3 linked regions of the Callithrix jacchus genome follow. The protein of the gene in region 3 purifies or fractionates together with the protein of the main gene of each other region. This does not show direct contact. Links are inferred from orthologs where the notes say so. Each region holds a gene or a part of one and is shown on either strand. Other genes may lie near its edges.

The links. The genes of interacting proteins can lie anywhere in the genome.
Region 1: the proteins of CHCHD4 (region 3) and TOR1AIP1 purify together in Homo sapiens (co-immunoprecipitation; 3 studies listed by BioGRID and IntAct, with this or other methods). This does not show direct contact. The link is inferred for Callithrix jacchus from reciprocal best matches to the Homo sapiens genes CHCHD4 and TOR1AIP1.
Region 2: the proteins of CHCHD4 (region 3) and TIMM10 purify together in Homo sapiens (co-immunoprecipitation; 4 studies listed by BioGRID and IntAct, with this or other methods). This does not show direct contact. The link is inferred for Callithrix jacchus from reciprocal best matches to the Homo sapiens genes CHCHD4 and TIMM10.

Annotation. Positions count from the first base shown.
Region 1 is NC_133519.1:23,486,288-23,491,847, forward strand, and holds the start of TOR1AIP1 (torsin-1A-interacting protein 1), read right to left. Parts: upstream 3,537-5,560; 5' UTR 3,427-3,536; coding exon 2,952-3,426; intron 1,231-2,951; coding exon 1,153-1,230; intron 1-1,152. Other genes in the region: uncharacterized protein LOC144580249, read right to left, coding at 3,537-3,737. UniProt on the Homo sapiens protein: Required for nuclear membrane integrity. Induces TOR1A and TOR1B ATPase activity and is required for their location on the nuclear membrane. Binds to A- and B-type lamins. Possible role in membrane attachment and assembly of the nuclear lamina.
Region 2 is NC_133511.1:115,097,581-115,103,043, reverse strand, and holds TIMM10 (mitochondrial import inner membrane translocase subunit Tim10), read left to right. Parts: upstream 1-1,927; 5' UTR 1,928-1,961; exon of another isoform or gene 1,962-2,022; intron 2,023-2,116; exon of another isoform or gene 2,117-2,340; intron 2,341-2,449; 5' UTR 2,450-2,494; coding exon 2,495-2,565; intron 2,566-4,071; coding exon 4,072-4,273; 3' UTR 4,274-4,516; downstream 4,517-5,463.
Region 3 is NC_133516.1:71,077,307-71,081,470, forward strand, and holds part of CHCHD4 (mitochondrial intermembrane space import and assembly protein 40), read right to left. Parts: intron 1,043-4,164; coding exon 735-1,042; 3' UTR 1-734.

The sequences.
Region 1 (5,560 bases), on a different chromosome or scaffold from region 3:
AAACCAGGGATGATCAGTTTTAACAGCTATGGTCATTTATTATTGTGAGACTTTCCTAATATCAAAAAAAGCAAATTGAAAATTAAATGGAACTAAAACCCAAAGCATTAACTTAACTGAACTTAACCCTTTCTCCAGCTTTTTAAAATATTTTAAACAGCTTTTAAAACTTAAGTAAACTGTTAAATATAGCCTACTTCCATGTTACATTGATTCTAAGACAAGTTTTTTACACCCTTTAACATCCCAACAACTCTGAAATTGGGATGCATCATATAATTATGGCATATTACCATAAATTACCAAAAAATTGGCAGCATTTTCCCCTGCTAGGTGGTACATAAAACAATGATGATGTTTCTTTCTTCTTTTTTTTTTTTTTTGAGATGGAGTTTCGCTCTTGTTACCCAGGCTGGAGTGCAATGGCACGATCTCGGCTCACTGCAACCTCCACCTCCTGGGTTCAGGCAATTTTCCTGCCTCAGCCTCCCGAGTAGCTGGGATTACAGGCATGCGCCACCATGCCCAGCTAATTTTTTGTATTTTTTTAGTAGAGATGGGGTTTCACCATGTTGACCGGGATGGTCTCGATCTCTTGACCTCGGCCTCCCAAAGTGCTGGGATTACAGGTGTGAGCCACCATGCCCGGCCTAACAATGATGATGTTTCTTACAGTTGATGGCATCTTAGATTTGACAAATCACAGTATTAAACTGAAAAGACTGAATACATTGTGTCAAGATTTTACCAAGAAGAAAACTTAATCCATTTTAAACAAGAGGGCAGTATGACACATTCGTTCATTTGATACCTAACAAACTTCACTAAGTAGCTAGTTAGGACATGAGAGAATGACACTGAGCCACTTGGGGGAGAATGAAAGGACTCTGGAGAAGACAAACCTGGGTTTGAATATTGGGTTCAGTCACATAATGTGATCTTAGAGAACTGTCTTAGTTTCTCTGAGCTTCAGTTTTCTCTTCTATGAAGTTGGTATAATATTTATCTTTCAAGGTTATATGGGTGGCTGCTCCTCTGAGTACTCACATGTCTGCCCTTGTCTTTTCTTTACACATACTTACATTGCTTAATTCAATGAACATTTAAAAAGCTGGCAGGTAAGGAGAAAAACAAAAGGTTAACTATTCTTACCTGGAGCCTCCTGTGTGGTCCTGACAGTTTTCTTTGAGATTGTTTGGCTTAAATCACTTTGGGAAGATAATTCATCCTCTAAAAAAACAGATGTAACAAGAGTTAAAATTCAGAACATGACCTGGGAGATCATGGCACAGATTACGGATTTTTATAACAATAACAAAAGCAAAAATGCAAGGAATTCACTTCTTTAGAAACAGGTAGTTAGGTTTACCAAACTTAGGAATTAAACTAGTCAGAATTCCTCTTGAGATAGAATATAACTAATTCATCAGAACATAAAAATATTTGCATTGTTGTTTTATAAAAATATATTACTTCAGAAAAGTAAAAAGATGGAGTAGAGAGTCACAAATGGTGTGGAAGAAAGCAGAAGAGTGAAAAATGTTTAGATCCTTAAAGATTTAATAGAATAGGGGTACATTCTTTACTTCTAAAAAAAGTTAGCCGATATAACTGCACTGGGCTCTGTGGGACTCAATACAATGCAACATATTTATTGCCTACCATGTGCAAAGCATTCTTCCAAGTATTGAAAGATACTGGATTAAACCAAGTACTTAAATTACTATCAACTATATATAATAGGCTCCTTGTCTGCAAAAACTTTTAATCTTAAAAGAGATAAAACTAACACATATATGGGCCACACTGTCTTGAGCTGCTACATCCAAAAGTAACTGACGTAACTTTAACATAAAGTTTCCAAAATCAAGTCTTCAAATCTGTCAGTACCTTCACGAGTCAGCAGGAAAACCTGCAGTCTATCACCGTGCTCTAAAGTGCAAACCCACTCTTCCTCAAATCAATAGTCTACCACAAACTGTGTCATCCCATGGTGACTCAGATCCGCTGATTTTTACCTCGCAGGTACCTTACCGTGGGACTAACATGAAACTTCATCTGTGACTCAGTGTTAGGTTCCAGAATGGGGAGTGGAGGGCGGGGTGGGAGGAATAGGTTAAGGAAACTGATTGACCTACCACTTACCTAACACTGTACCTTCACTTTGTCAGCATCCCTTTTGTCCATTTGGATGAAAATGCTAATGAATAGTCTTGTTTTTCACGTTGCTTTGTCAGCCTGATTTACCACACTACTTTAGGTTACAGTGACGCTCACCAAAGTGGCACATTTTTAGCAGGGACCACCATACTGGAGAAAGAGCAATCAGCTCAAGTGTATCAGACACTGGGGAACATCAGTGCAGGATAAATGAGTTACCCCATTTCGGTGTAAGCACTGGGTGAGGTCTCAAATCAATTCACTGAACTCGGCAACCCCTCGAAATGCCCACTCACAAAATCTCTCCTTCTCTCCCCATCTGGGTGGGGAGGGAAAAAGACTGGAAGGTTAGATCCTCAGCTGGGGACTCTGGCCTGTGAGCTTTAAAGAAGGAAATGGAAGTGGTTTCGGTAGAAACATCCGCAGGGTAGAGAAAACCGAAATGAAACCAAACCTGGAATAATTCGCTGTCCCCTCGTGAAGGCCTGCAGAAACAGGCAGCCCTGACTCCCCTAAATTGATGCCCGATGTTGGGCAGAGCGCCCCAGCCCTGCTTCGGTCGCTCCGTACGACCATCTTTCCACTCCTTGGCTCGGCGCTTCCTTCCCGCTAGCGGGTCAGGATGGACGCTGCACGGGGGCACACGTCCGGAGGGGGCTGAGGAGTACCCAATACCCACTACCCAATCCCAGTACTTAGTACCCAGGCCGGGGTGAGATCCACCGAGGCGCGCGCCCGCCCTCGCGCGTTCCCTAGCTCGCGGTTGGGACTGTTACCTCCGCGGTCCTCACCTTCAGAGGAATGAGAGTCCCGCAGCCCTCTCCTAGCCGTAGCGGGAGACGGCTGTAGCGGAGACTGCTCTGAGTGCTGCTGCCGAAGGCGGGTAGCCCTTCGCGTCTTCATCTCTTCAGCTTCCTGGGGTAGCGGCTGCCTCCGCTGCCTAGACCGAAGATAGTACGCGCTTTCTCTCACTTCCTCTTTCGCCGAATCGGGCCGGAACTCTACTAGCCGGATTCGTTTTCCCACCGGGGACCTTTCTTTGGCCACCCGGGGCTCGAAGTCGCCGTACACTTCTGGCGGCTCCTCAGAAAACCTCACTTCCCGCCGGCCCTGGCGCGACAGAGGAGTTGCGTACGCAGGCGCATCGCTGCTGCCGCCATTTTGAGGGGCGAGCCGGCCCCTTCCTTCTCGGATGGGGGCCCTGGGGGTGACGTACATACCCAATCCTTCCCGCACCGCCTCCGGCCGCCGCCCCTCCCCCGCCATAGTTGTTGACGTAGCTTGAGTTGATCGCGAAGATGGCTTTAATGGACCCTAGGTTCTCCTGCCGGTGGTGGCGATGGCTTCTCGGGGGTGTTAGGCGGTGGTCGCTGTGGTCAGGGAGGCAGTTGAGTGTCGCCGGGGCCGCCACCTGCGTCGTCACTGCTGTGTAGCAAACCTGCCTCTGGGCCCATGGTGTGTCTTGAGGGCTGTGGGAGAGGCAGTGCCTGAGCTGGGTCAGCTGCTGTGGGTCGCTCCCGCCTCCTGGCTGGAGGCACCAAAGAGGAGGAGAAGGGGGAGGAGGACGTCTCTGCCATCGGCCTTAAGTAAGGGAGGGGTGGGGGTGACAGAAGGGTGGCAGGGCAAATTGCCTGTCCTAAGTCCAGCCGCTCGTGACAAGTGTTGCCTTCACGCAGGAAGGCTCTGGAAAAACGAGTGAGACGAGGATGGAGAAGACCAAGTTTCGCTTCTTGGCCCCAGGCTGTTGCGCAGTTCCCCTGGAATCTTTTTGATCGATTGTTACGTTGCCCATGTCCTTGCCAGTGTCCCTAGCAGAAGTGATGGCCAGAGAGATAACTTTTGCACATGTCATGTTTTTGTGGCGAAAATTTTAGTTTCAAGTTCCTTATGAAGGCAGTTACCTAGTTTTAAATTTTGTCACCTGTTGAGAGTGTACAAAATCCCATCTACAGTCATAGTCGTTGGAAATATTTTCTTTTCTGAAATATATCCAGAGGAAACATAACCTTATTCCTGTTCTTTAATATTTCTTGGTTTTATACCAAGAAGCACTGTTCGGAAGACCATGTTAGTGCTACATTATACACAGTGAGAAGCGAGCAAGTTTTTTGATTAAAGGCAGCACTGTAATTTTAAGTTGTGATCTATTACTTTTATTCTGGATATGACGTGATACTCTACATTTGATTTAGCATGTTTTGTGGACTTCATGGAATAAGAGCATGATAAAAGCTATTTGTTTCACCTCCATATACCATGTTTACAGATGTGGCTAATCTTCAAATACCTAACCAAATTTAGACACTCAGGGAAGGTCAATTAAGTTCGTGTAAAGTCTGAATTGTTGACAGAAAGCTTACTTCAAAAAAATAAAATAAATAAATAAATAAAAAGGCTGAGCGCGGTAGCTCATGCCTGTAATCCCAGCACTTTGGGAGGCCAAGGCTTGTGGATCACTTGAGGTCAGGAGTTCGAGACCAGCCTGGCCAACATGGTGAAACCCGGTCTTAAAAAAAAAAAAATTAAATTACTTTCACATGTACAACTTCTTGTAGGACTTTGTATGATTGATTAGAGTGAATCGATTTTAAAAATTGTAACCCAGCCTGGATTAGATGCTGTATTTTGGAAATTTGCTAGATTTACTCTTCTCCAATAAAATGCTGAAAAGTATTGATACCGTAATATGTGGCTTTCATTTATGTTTTAAGTAGCGCTTTCTCTTTAAAGTGGCTATTACATGACTCATTAGCAACACGATAGTAAACCCTAATAGATTTACTTATTAAATGTAAATTTTATAGTAATATATTGAGTTCATGTTATGAATATTAAAGCCTCCTTGAAACATTTTACAAAGACAGGTGACTGTAGAAACTGGGATACTAGCTTATAAACCTCGGATACAGGCTTGTAAAACCTAGGTTTGAGGGACAGATTGAAAAAGAGACAAGAGTCTACTAATTCAAGTTGAATTAGAAGTTGAGAGATTCTACATATTACTGAATAATCAGAATATGCATATTTTGTAATTAAAACTGCTTGTAAAGGCTTAGGAATGGCCTTTCAACTAAATTAACGAGACACTTACTGTAAAATTAGAGGCATGGTAACTTTAATGCTAACATATATATGTGTATATGCATAGGATTTTCCCTCTTTTGTCTAGGTTGTAAGCATATAGAAACATACCTCTACTGTGATTGCCTCCTTCACCTAGAAACTGTGCAGATACCAAACTTTCATCACTGCGAGGCAAAGCTAAACTGTTGTCAAACTAGATATTCTGCTGTAGCTATTATCCAGTCTCTAAGAGCGGCTCAAAACAGGTGACATTACAGTGACAGTAGACTCATAGCCAATATTATAAGGGATTTCCTGGGCCACTAATAACAAAAGG
Region 2 (5,463 bases), on a different chromosome or scaffold from region 3:
CAGATGATCCACCCGCCTCAGCCTCCCAAAGTGCTGGGATTACACTTGTGAGCCACCGCACCTGGCCAATGTTTACTATATTTTCAAAAGCAAAACCCAAGGCAAGATACGTCTATCTGTACAAGAGTATGACAGCAGCATTTTTGCATAATAGGCAAAAACTGGAAACAATCCAAACATCCATCAACAGGAGAATGGATAAACGAATTGTGGCATATTCATACAGTCAAACACTAGACAGCAATAAAACAGAAGAAATAACAGATACACACAACAAAGTGGAAGAAATCTTACAGGTAAATTGAGCTAAAGAACTCAGGCACAGGCCGGTGGGGTGGCTCACACCTGTAATCCCAGCACTTTGGGAAGCTGAGGCGGGTGGATCATGAGGAGGTCAAGAGATCGAGACTATCCTGGCTAACATGGTGAAACCCCGTCTCTACTAAAAATACAAAAGTTAGCTGGGAGTGGTGGCACACCCCTGTCATCCCAGCTACTCAGGAGGCTGAGGCAGGAGAATCGCTTGAACTGGGCAGGTGGGGGTTGCAGTGAGCCGAGATCGTGCCAGTGCACTCCAGCCTGACAACAGTGAGACTCCATCTCAAATAAATAAATAAATAAGAAGTCAGGCACAAAATAGAAAATAATGTATAATTCCATTTACCTTAAGTTCAAGAACAGGGAAAACTAATTGATGGTGATACAGGTCAGAATAGTGGTTAACTTCGAGAGGGAGTATTGATGGGGAAGGAACACTAGATAACTTTTTGGGGTACAGGAAGCATATCCTGATCTGTGTGGTGGTTATATGAATGTATATATATATATAAGCTTTAGAGTTGTGTATTTTATGCACTTCATGAATGTTATACCTCAATCTTAAAAAATCGGGGCACAAGGTTTGACAAAGATGAGTCTTCAGAGCAGTAGGAAGGTCAGCTGTTTAAAATCAGGATGGTCCTGGACAATTAGAGAAGCATGTGACGACCATACATATAAAATGTCTAGCCCACCTTTTCCAATGGGCAATGTACCCTTGAGTCATTAATTTACATCTTGTAAATTTATTTTACTAGGAAATTGTGTGACAAATCAAGGGACTGAGTGTTGTTTCCTTCTTTTTAGTGGGCAATGAGCGAATGGTGCAGTTTGAGGAATACATTAAGTCTTGAAAGATGAGAAGTTCACCAGTACCCTCCTTCTGCCTCACCCAAGATTAGTCCTGGTGGCAGCCTAAATTGCGTTTATTAATCTTTTTATGGCTCAGGGCCTCTCACTGTTGAAGAAAACGTATTTCACACGTCTCCTCTTTCTGTAAGCAGGAACCGTATCTCGCTTATCTTTGCAACCCAGACAGTGTTAGTGTGATCTACACACAGCAGTAATCGCACAACGTCCTATGGAGCACTGCTTCTCAAATTTGGCTGTACAAACGAATCACCTGGGGAATTTTAAATTGTACTGATACCTGGGTCCTACTCGCAGAGATTCTGATTTAATTGAAATGAGGCGAGTCGTGGGCACTGGGATTTTTAAAAGCGTTCCAGGTGATTTTAACGCGAAACAAAAACTGAGAACCGCTGTTGGGGGTGTTCTTCCGTCTCCACGCCTGATTTGTGGCTGTCCCGGACGGGGGTGAGGTTCACTGATATCTGTCGCCACACCTCTTCCTACAGAACCAATAAACTGAAAACTCTCGGTGACAACCTGAGACTTGAATTCTGATCGGGCCGCAGGCGCTCTGCACCCAGCCCAAGCCTCTATGGTACTTTGGCGTCCCCTCTAGCACTGGCAAATCGCCTTCCTCTTCGCCCGGCGCCGCTCGCTCCCTTTGTAAGATCGCCGAGTTCCCGGAGCCGTCTCGTTGGTATTTCATTCCGGAAGCGAGTTTGGAGCCAAGAAGAGGCGGGACTTCTCTCCCGGAAGTAATCCACGTGCTTCCGCTGGAGCCTTCTTGGGAGGCAGGTAACGTTATAGTATTTGTAAGGTCTCCGTGGGCATTGTGATCCGTCCCAGGTAGTGGTGAGTGATCCGTGACTTCTGAATTCAATGTGTCCCTGATTATGGCGTCACCATTTCAGAAGTGCATCCTTTGGGCCGGGTCCCGGTCTCCTCTGTTCAGCGTATGATCTCATTCCCAGGGCCCTGGAGGTTCAGGCCTGGGTTAGAGCGTTCTGAACCGGTCCTCGATCTTCTGAATAGAGATGACCTCTAGGGACTTGGGTATCAGAGATCCAGGGCTCGATTTCCAGGCTCGCCGTGAATGTCCCGTGCGACCTTGGACTAGGCCTCAGTTTCCACATCCGTGAAATGGGGTTAAGCTAGGTTAAGCTCACTGAGGTTAGTGGCCCCTGGTGGTCTGGCGCCCTGTGAGTCTTTTGGATCCTCTAGCCCCGGGGTAGGAGAGTGAACGACGGCAGTGGGTGATGACGGTGGTGTCTCCTCCCAGGATTAGGAGGCCAGAAGGAGATCCCTTCCAGGGTGCTAGGCCAAGATGGATCCGCTCAGGGCCCAACAGCTGGCCGCAGAGCTGGAGGTGGAGATGATGGCCGATATGTACAACAGGTAAAGAGAACCATGTGCTACACTGTCTTGGAAAATAAGCCTTGGCCACCCTTTTCGAAGGTGAATGACTTATAACAAATTTCATCCTGAATGTAGGGGAGCGAGAGACCCATGCTTACTCTCACCATACCCACCTTCAAGGTTGATTCTAATGCAGATGCAGTAAAGGGTCACTAGAATATTTAGATGGGGATAGAACTGGAGATGCGGGAGCCAAGCAGGAAGAGAAACTCCAATTCAGGCTCTGGTTAGGTTCCAAGAAAAGCTGAAAAGCTGAGTATTTGCTTTTTGGCAAATAGCACATAGCCAGCCCATTTAGTAGTTAACATTTTAAAGCCCTTGGCCGAGGCAGTGGCTCATGCCCGTAATTCCAGCACTTTGGGAGGCCGAGGTGGGCAGATCACGAGGTCAGAAGTTCCAGATGTCTGGCCAACATGGCACAATCCCATCTCTACTAAAAATACAAAAATTATCCGGGCATGGTGGCAGGCACCTGTATTCCCAGCTACTAGGGAGACTGAGGCAGGAGAATCACTTGCACCCAGAAGACGGAGGTTGTGGTGAGCTGAGATTGTGCCACTGCACTCCAGCCTGGACAGCAAGAGCAAAACTCCATCTCAAAAAAACAAAAAACAAAACCCTTTATTCTGTGTCAGTCACTTGTTAATCTTCAAAATAATCCAGTGGGTTAATTTTATTAGTCCCATCTTAAAATGAGGAAATTGATGCTTCTAGAAGTTAAGTAACTTCCTCAGAGTCCGCAGTTGGTCAGTAACAACACCAGAACTAGCACCTCAGTCTGATTCTGCAACTAGTGCTCATAATCATTTGGCAAATTTGGGAACAAATCCCGGCTCCACCAATCACCAGCAGTGTTCTTGGACGTGTTACTTGCACTGTTTGACAATTGGTTTCCTCATTATGAAAAAGACATAATGATACCTACCTCATAGGGTATTATATATATTACATTTAAAAATTTCTGAAAGCCCTTAGCCTCAAGTCCAACACTTAGCAACAGTGAAATATCTGCTATTTTTATTGACTTAACCTCTCTTGATTGGTTGGTTTACCCTGAAGGCTATAAATTAGGAAGGATTTTTAAGTGTAGGAAGTGAGGCCAGATGATCTGTGTTCATATTTTAGCTCTATGTGATTCTTAGAAAATTACCGAGCCTCTCTTGGCTTAATTTCCTCATCTGTAAAATGGGGATAAGTATCTCTTAGGGTGATTGTAAGGATTGCATAACAGAATGCATGTAAAGCACTTAGCATGATGCCTGGCACATAGCCAGTTTAACAAATGCTTTCTGCTTAATTAGTCATATACAGGGGCTCAGACAAGTGTCCTGCTTGCAAGGAGCTTCCAGTGGTTGAGGTGGAAACTGAGGATTTATAGTGCTTTCTTGGGGAAGGTGAAATCAATATAGCAGGGCTGGGATGGTCGAGGGTTCCTGGGATGTCACAGGATGCTGCTGACATGACCTTGCCCCTCCCTCCCTCCAGAATGACCAGTGCCTGCCACCGGAAGTGTGTGCCTCCTCACTACAAGGAAGCAGAGCTGTCCAAGGGCGAGTCTGTGTGCCTGGACCGATGTGTGTCTAAGTACCTGGACATCCATGAGCGGATGGGCAAAAAGTTGACAGAGTTGTCTATGCAGGATGAAGAGCTGATGAAGAGGGTGCAGCAGAGCTCTGGGCCCGCGTGAGGTCTCAGTCAGTATATACCCTGGGCTATATCCCACCCCTCCCCACTCGAATAAAAGTGCCCTCTGTTGGGTGTCATCTGTGAAGACTGCCAGGCCTAGGCTCTCGGTAGAGTCTTCAAGATCCCAGAGTGGTAGTGCTTTCTCCTGGTGAAGGAGTATTTGTCACACTGGAATGTGACTGTGTGTGAATGTATGTGTGTGTGTATATATATATATATATATTAAAACAACTTTGTTGACACCTACTATGTGCAAAGCAGTGTGCTTGGCATTTGAGAGTAAACAGAGAAAACCTCACAAGCAGAGAGGAGACTAATGTAGTATTTTAAGAGTAAGACAGTCCGGCATGGTTGCTCACTCTGTAATCAGCACTTTGGGAGGCTTGGGGCGTGGGTGATCACTTGAGGTCAGGAGTTCAAGACCAGCCTGGCTAACATGGCAAAACCCCATCTCTGCTGAAATACAAAAATTACCTGGGTGTAGTGGCATGTGCCTGTAATCCCAGCTACTTAGGAGGCTGAGGCAGGAAAATTGTCTGAACCTCAGAGGTAGAGGTTGCCTGAGTCGAGATTGTGCCACTGTACTCTCCAACCTGGGGGACAGAGCAAGACTCTGTCTCCAAAAAAAAAAAACAAAAAACCAAAACAAAACAGGAAGACAGCTTCAGTTTGCCTGCTTTCTGCTGTTTTTTATGTGGCCCTGAACCTGTCATTTTTGCCTGCTTTCGCTTCTTCATCTGTAAAACGGTTAGTCAAACATGGTTAGCCCTTTGACTATCCCTGTTTTACAGATGAGGAAGCTGAGGATTTAAGAAGCATGTTGCTTGCTTGAGTTCACACAAGCAGAGCAATAATATGGAGGCCAGACCCGACTGCTACTGCGTTTGCTGTCTCACCGAGGAGCATCTTCAGAGGACTGAGCAGTTTTCAGAATGTGTAGGTCTCCAGATGGGACTGTGGTTGACATCAATGCCACTGTGACAGTAGTACCTTCAAAGTTGGCCTTCCTGGCGAAAGTGTCTGGGATGTAACTAGGTCATTGACATAAAGGAGATAGAATAGAGGCAGTGAGTTTGGGGCTTGTGAGTGCAGGTTCAAGCCAGACTATGTAACTTTGAGTTTCTACTGAAATTTTCTGGTAGTGTGATCTTGGGTGAGGCATTTTAACTGCCCTGTGCCTCAATTACCCCA
Region 3 (4,164 bases):
TTTTCCTTTCTTGCTGCTACTCTGGTAATAATTAGGTCCCCACCTCTCAAGAACATTGCAGCTGACCAGACTGAAAACCAGTGTGAACATGGGCCCCAAACCAGGGCTTTCAGAATAATGAGAGCAAATCAGCCTCTCCCTTCACTTAGAAAGGGACTAAGTGAAAGGGCCCAAATCTTCTTTGTCCAAACAACACAAAACCAGGAGCTCAACACCAACATGGAAACCACAATGTATCGGGAATGAAATACAGTACCCCTTGACATACTCAAGGTCAAGATGGGTTTGCAGAAATTGTATCTGACCATCTGGCCTCTGCTAGTAGATATGGCCCCACCCCAGCATTTTTAAGAGAAGATGTTTTTGTTTCTATTACTTGTATTATTTCCCCAAGGGGTATAAAATCTAGTAAGAGGAATATAATGAATCAGAATGTATCAGCTCACTCACAAGCAAGGTTCCTGGGTAATGGTTTTTACTTGCTGAGCTTATTCAGCATTCTATCAAAGTGGCGGCTACAGGTTTAGGTAGGACACACATACAACCCCCATTTTTTTCAGTGTATATGTCAAGAGGCCAAGACCCCTGATCATCAAAATAAGTTATTTTGCATATTACAGTGCACAGGACAACAGAGGGAAAGACACTTTCTGGAAAGGTGACTAAAAGGCATCTTGCAAAAGGTCCATATCACTGAAGTGGAAGGACTGGAGCCCAGTGCCTTGTGGCCTTCATTAACTTGACTCCTCTTCCTCTTTGGTTGCAGTGGCTTCAGAGGGAGCTGTTTCTGGTACTTGTTCTGCTGGCTTCTTCTTTTCTTCCTCTTCCTCATCCTCATCCTCTTGGGGATAGAGGTCTGGGTATTTCTGCATGCATTCCTGCATGGCCCGGAACTGGTCTACACAGTCTGACCCCTTGATCTCCTCCTTGCTATAGTGGAAGCAGGAAAAGGCCGACTTGAACTGTTCCCCACAGGGGCCGCTGGCCATTCCCCCAAGGCATGGGCAGTTCCAGTTAATGTTTCCATTTGGCAGTATCAATCCTGGAACAGGAAGATAAGCAAGGACAATGTGAGAGATGTTCTGTAATGTTTCAGAAAATACAAAACTGGTCCAGTCCTCGCAGGCTACTCAGCTGGTGCAGAACAACAGGAGCCATCGTTCCTATGGACCCATACCTCAATCTGGATTCAGTTGAAATGCCTAGCACATATCCAGCACTCCTTGGCCCAGCTAGGAGAGAAGCCATCAAGGACATGTTTCTCCATGTGTGACACTAAACTATTCTAAGCCACCTCCCAGTACTCTGAGGCTGTGCTCCAAGAATTAAATACGGGGAACCATTTAACCCAAAGAGACGATCACTTGGATGGTTAGTGAAGAGCTTTTTGAAAGCCCACTTTAAGGAACTGAGGTACTAATCTTCTCTTTCTAATCCCCTCCCCATATGGATGATTGGGACCACCTTACCCCCAAGCTCCCTGCCCCTTGAGCCCCTCTTGCCTTGCAGCTGCTCTCAGAAGCTCAGCGTAGTGTGGGGACTGGTGAAAAGGCAGAGGTTGCTCCTTATGTACTGACGAGGAAAGATGTCTAACACATGCTGCACAATGAGAAGCTGGTGGCATACGATTAGTGCGAGTGCATTGTAAAAAATCAAACTGTTAAACTGCACATGTGTGTGGGAAGGGAGCAAGGTTATAGATGAGTTTTCATTCTCACTATTAATAGGCCTCTTTTGACTTTCATAGCTTTTCTCATCATTGAACTTTATTCACATCTAAATAGTATTTCTTTGTTTTCCAAAATGCTATCAAAATGATGGCTTCATTTTCAGCTTTGTGACAGACACAGATATATGATTCATATAGAAGCTTCTTACATGAGTCTTACCAAGAACCTGAAAGCACTTTCTAAGAGGCCTCTAAAACGTCCTGTAAATTACACATGATTCTTCACTCCAGGGCAGTACCCAGGCCTGGCACTCTGCACTAATGTCCAAAGTCCTAGGTGAAACCCCAGCTGCCTCTCAATTCCAGCTTGGGAAGCTCCACTGATCAATGGACCTGCTGTAACTATTCCTGTACCTTATTTGTGAAATGGGGATAGCAAGGGCGATGCCAACTAGTGCTGCCCCCTTAGCAGGCAGCAGACCCCCAGGACCAGTAGCGGTTGCAGATCAAGTTCTCCTGCATTGTGTACTACTAACCCCAGTTTACACACAGTTTCTGGGGCTCATGGTCCACGTTAGGACTGCAGACTAGGCCGGCAGAGCCCATATCCCTTCCTCTACATCTCACCACTTCTTCTTGACAGGGACCTCAGTGGTGGAAAAACATTTGTAAATGCTGCCCCCTGGAGGTTCAAATCTGCTCACAAACCTGCACAACCAGTTTCCAAAAGAGAGAATAGGGACATTTAAAAATTGTAACCCAAAAGGTGGATCCAAGACGGCCAAATAGGAACAGCTCTGGAGTGCAGTTCCCAGCGAAAACAACACAGAGTCTGGATCTACTCGGGTATGAAGGGCCATACCCGAGTAGATCCAGACTCTTCAGCTGGGGCTACCCTCCTAGCAGCCCATTTTATTTCCCAGTCAGCACCAGATATTAGAAAAAAACTAAAGAAGGCAGAGGAGGGCCTCCAAACTCCCATATGAGACCTGGTAAACATGGCATTTAAAGTTTTTAATGGCGGAGAGGAAAAAGCTGAGGCCACCCACCAGGCCCAGCTACAGCAACAGGTGAGCCTCCAAACCCAAGCTCTTGTAGCGGCTCTGAGGCTGGCAACTCACCAAGCATCTGGTGTAAGGGACCTGTCAAAGGCCCCCCAAAAGGGTCCCTCAGGACTCTCTGGACCCACCCAGACTGCTTCAAAGGTCCCACCCAGGCCCTGTTTCAAGTGCAGCCAGGAGGGCCACTGGCCCTGGGACCCTGTCCTACCTGCAAATGGATTGGACACTAGAAAGTAGACTGCCCATCCCAGACTATAGGCTCACCCCCTGCACCTCCATGTGAGAGGCAGGCCAGTCCAAAAGATGCAGTCCCTTCGTTTGAACTCCTCAGCCTCATAGACGACTGATGTGGCCCAGACTTGGAGACCCCTATCGCCCTTCTGAGCTCAAAGTAATGCTATAGGTAGCAGGTAAGTCCATTTCCTTCTTGGTGGACACGGGGGCTACCTATTCTGTGTTGCCTTCTTACTCAAGACCTAACACACCTTCCCAAGTGTCAGATATGTGAATTGATAGAAAGCCCTCCTGCCCCAACCAGACTCCTCCCTTAGCCTGTAACCTTGAGGGGCACCCAATCTCTCACTCCTTCCTGATCATGCCTTCATGCCCAGTTCCCCTACTAGGGCGGGACATCCTCCAAACTCTAGGGGGTCACCCTCCAACACACTGGCCCCTCACAGCCAACCTCATCCCCCACACATCTTCTAGCACTAACCCTAACTGGTAATGCACCTGGTCATAACCCTTCACCTCAACCCCCTATCCCTCCTGAGGTAGTTAGCCCCTCAGTATAAGATACCTCCAAGCCTGTAGTGGCCACACATCACACGCCAGTTAAAATATTTCTCAAAAACCCTACCCACTTTCCCTCCCATCCTCAGTTTCCCATCTCAAAAAACCATCGTCAAGGCCTAAAACCAATCATCACTCGACTTTTAGCTCAGGGACTCCTTATCCCCACCAGTTCTCCTTGTAATACTCCTATTTTACCAGTCCAAAAGCCATCCAGTGACTACCACCTAGGCGAAGATCTACGCCTTATCAATGAGGCGGTAGTACCCCTCCACCCAGTGGTCCCCAACCCCTATACCCTATTATCCAACACTCCCTCCGCAACCACTCATTTTACAGTCCTAGACCTGAAGGACACCTTTTTTTTTTTTTTTTTTTTTTTTTACCATTCCCCTTCACCCAGAGTCTTATTTCCTCTTTGCCTTCACCTAGACTGATCCGGACACTAACCTGTCACAACAGTTAACCTAGACAGTCCTGCCCCAGGGCTTTAGGGACAGCCCCCACATTTTCAGACAAGCATTAGTGACTAACCTCAGTTCTTGCCCCCTTCAAGTCTCCTTCTCCAGTACATAGATGACCTGTTACTTTGTAGCCCCTCCTTCTCCATGTCACAGCAACATACCGCTATCCTCCTTAATT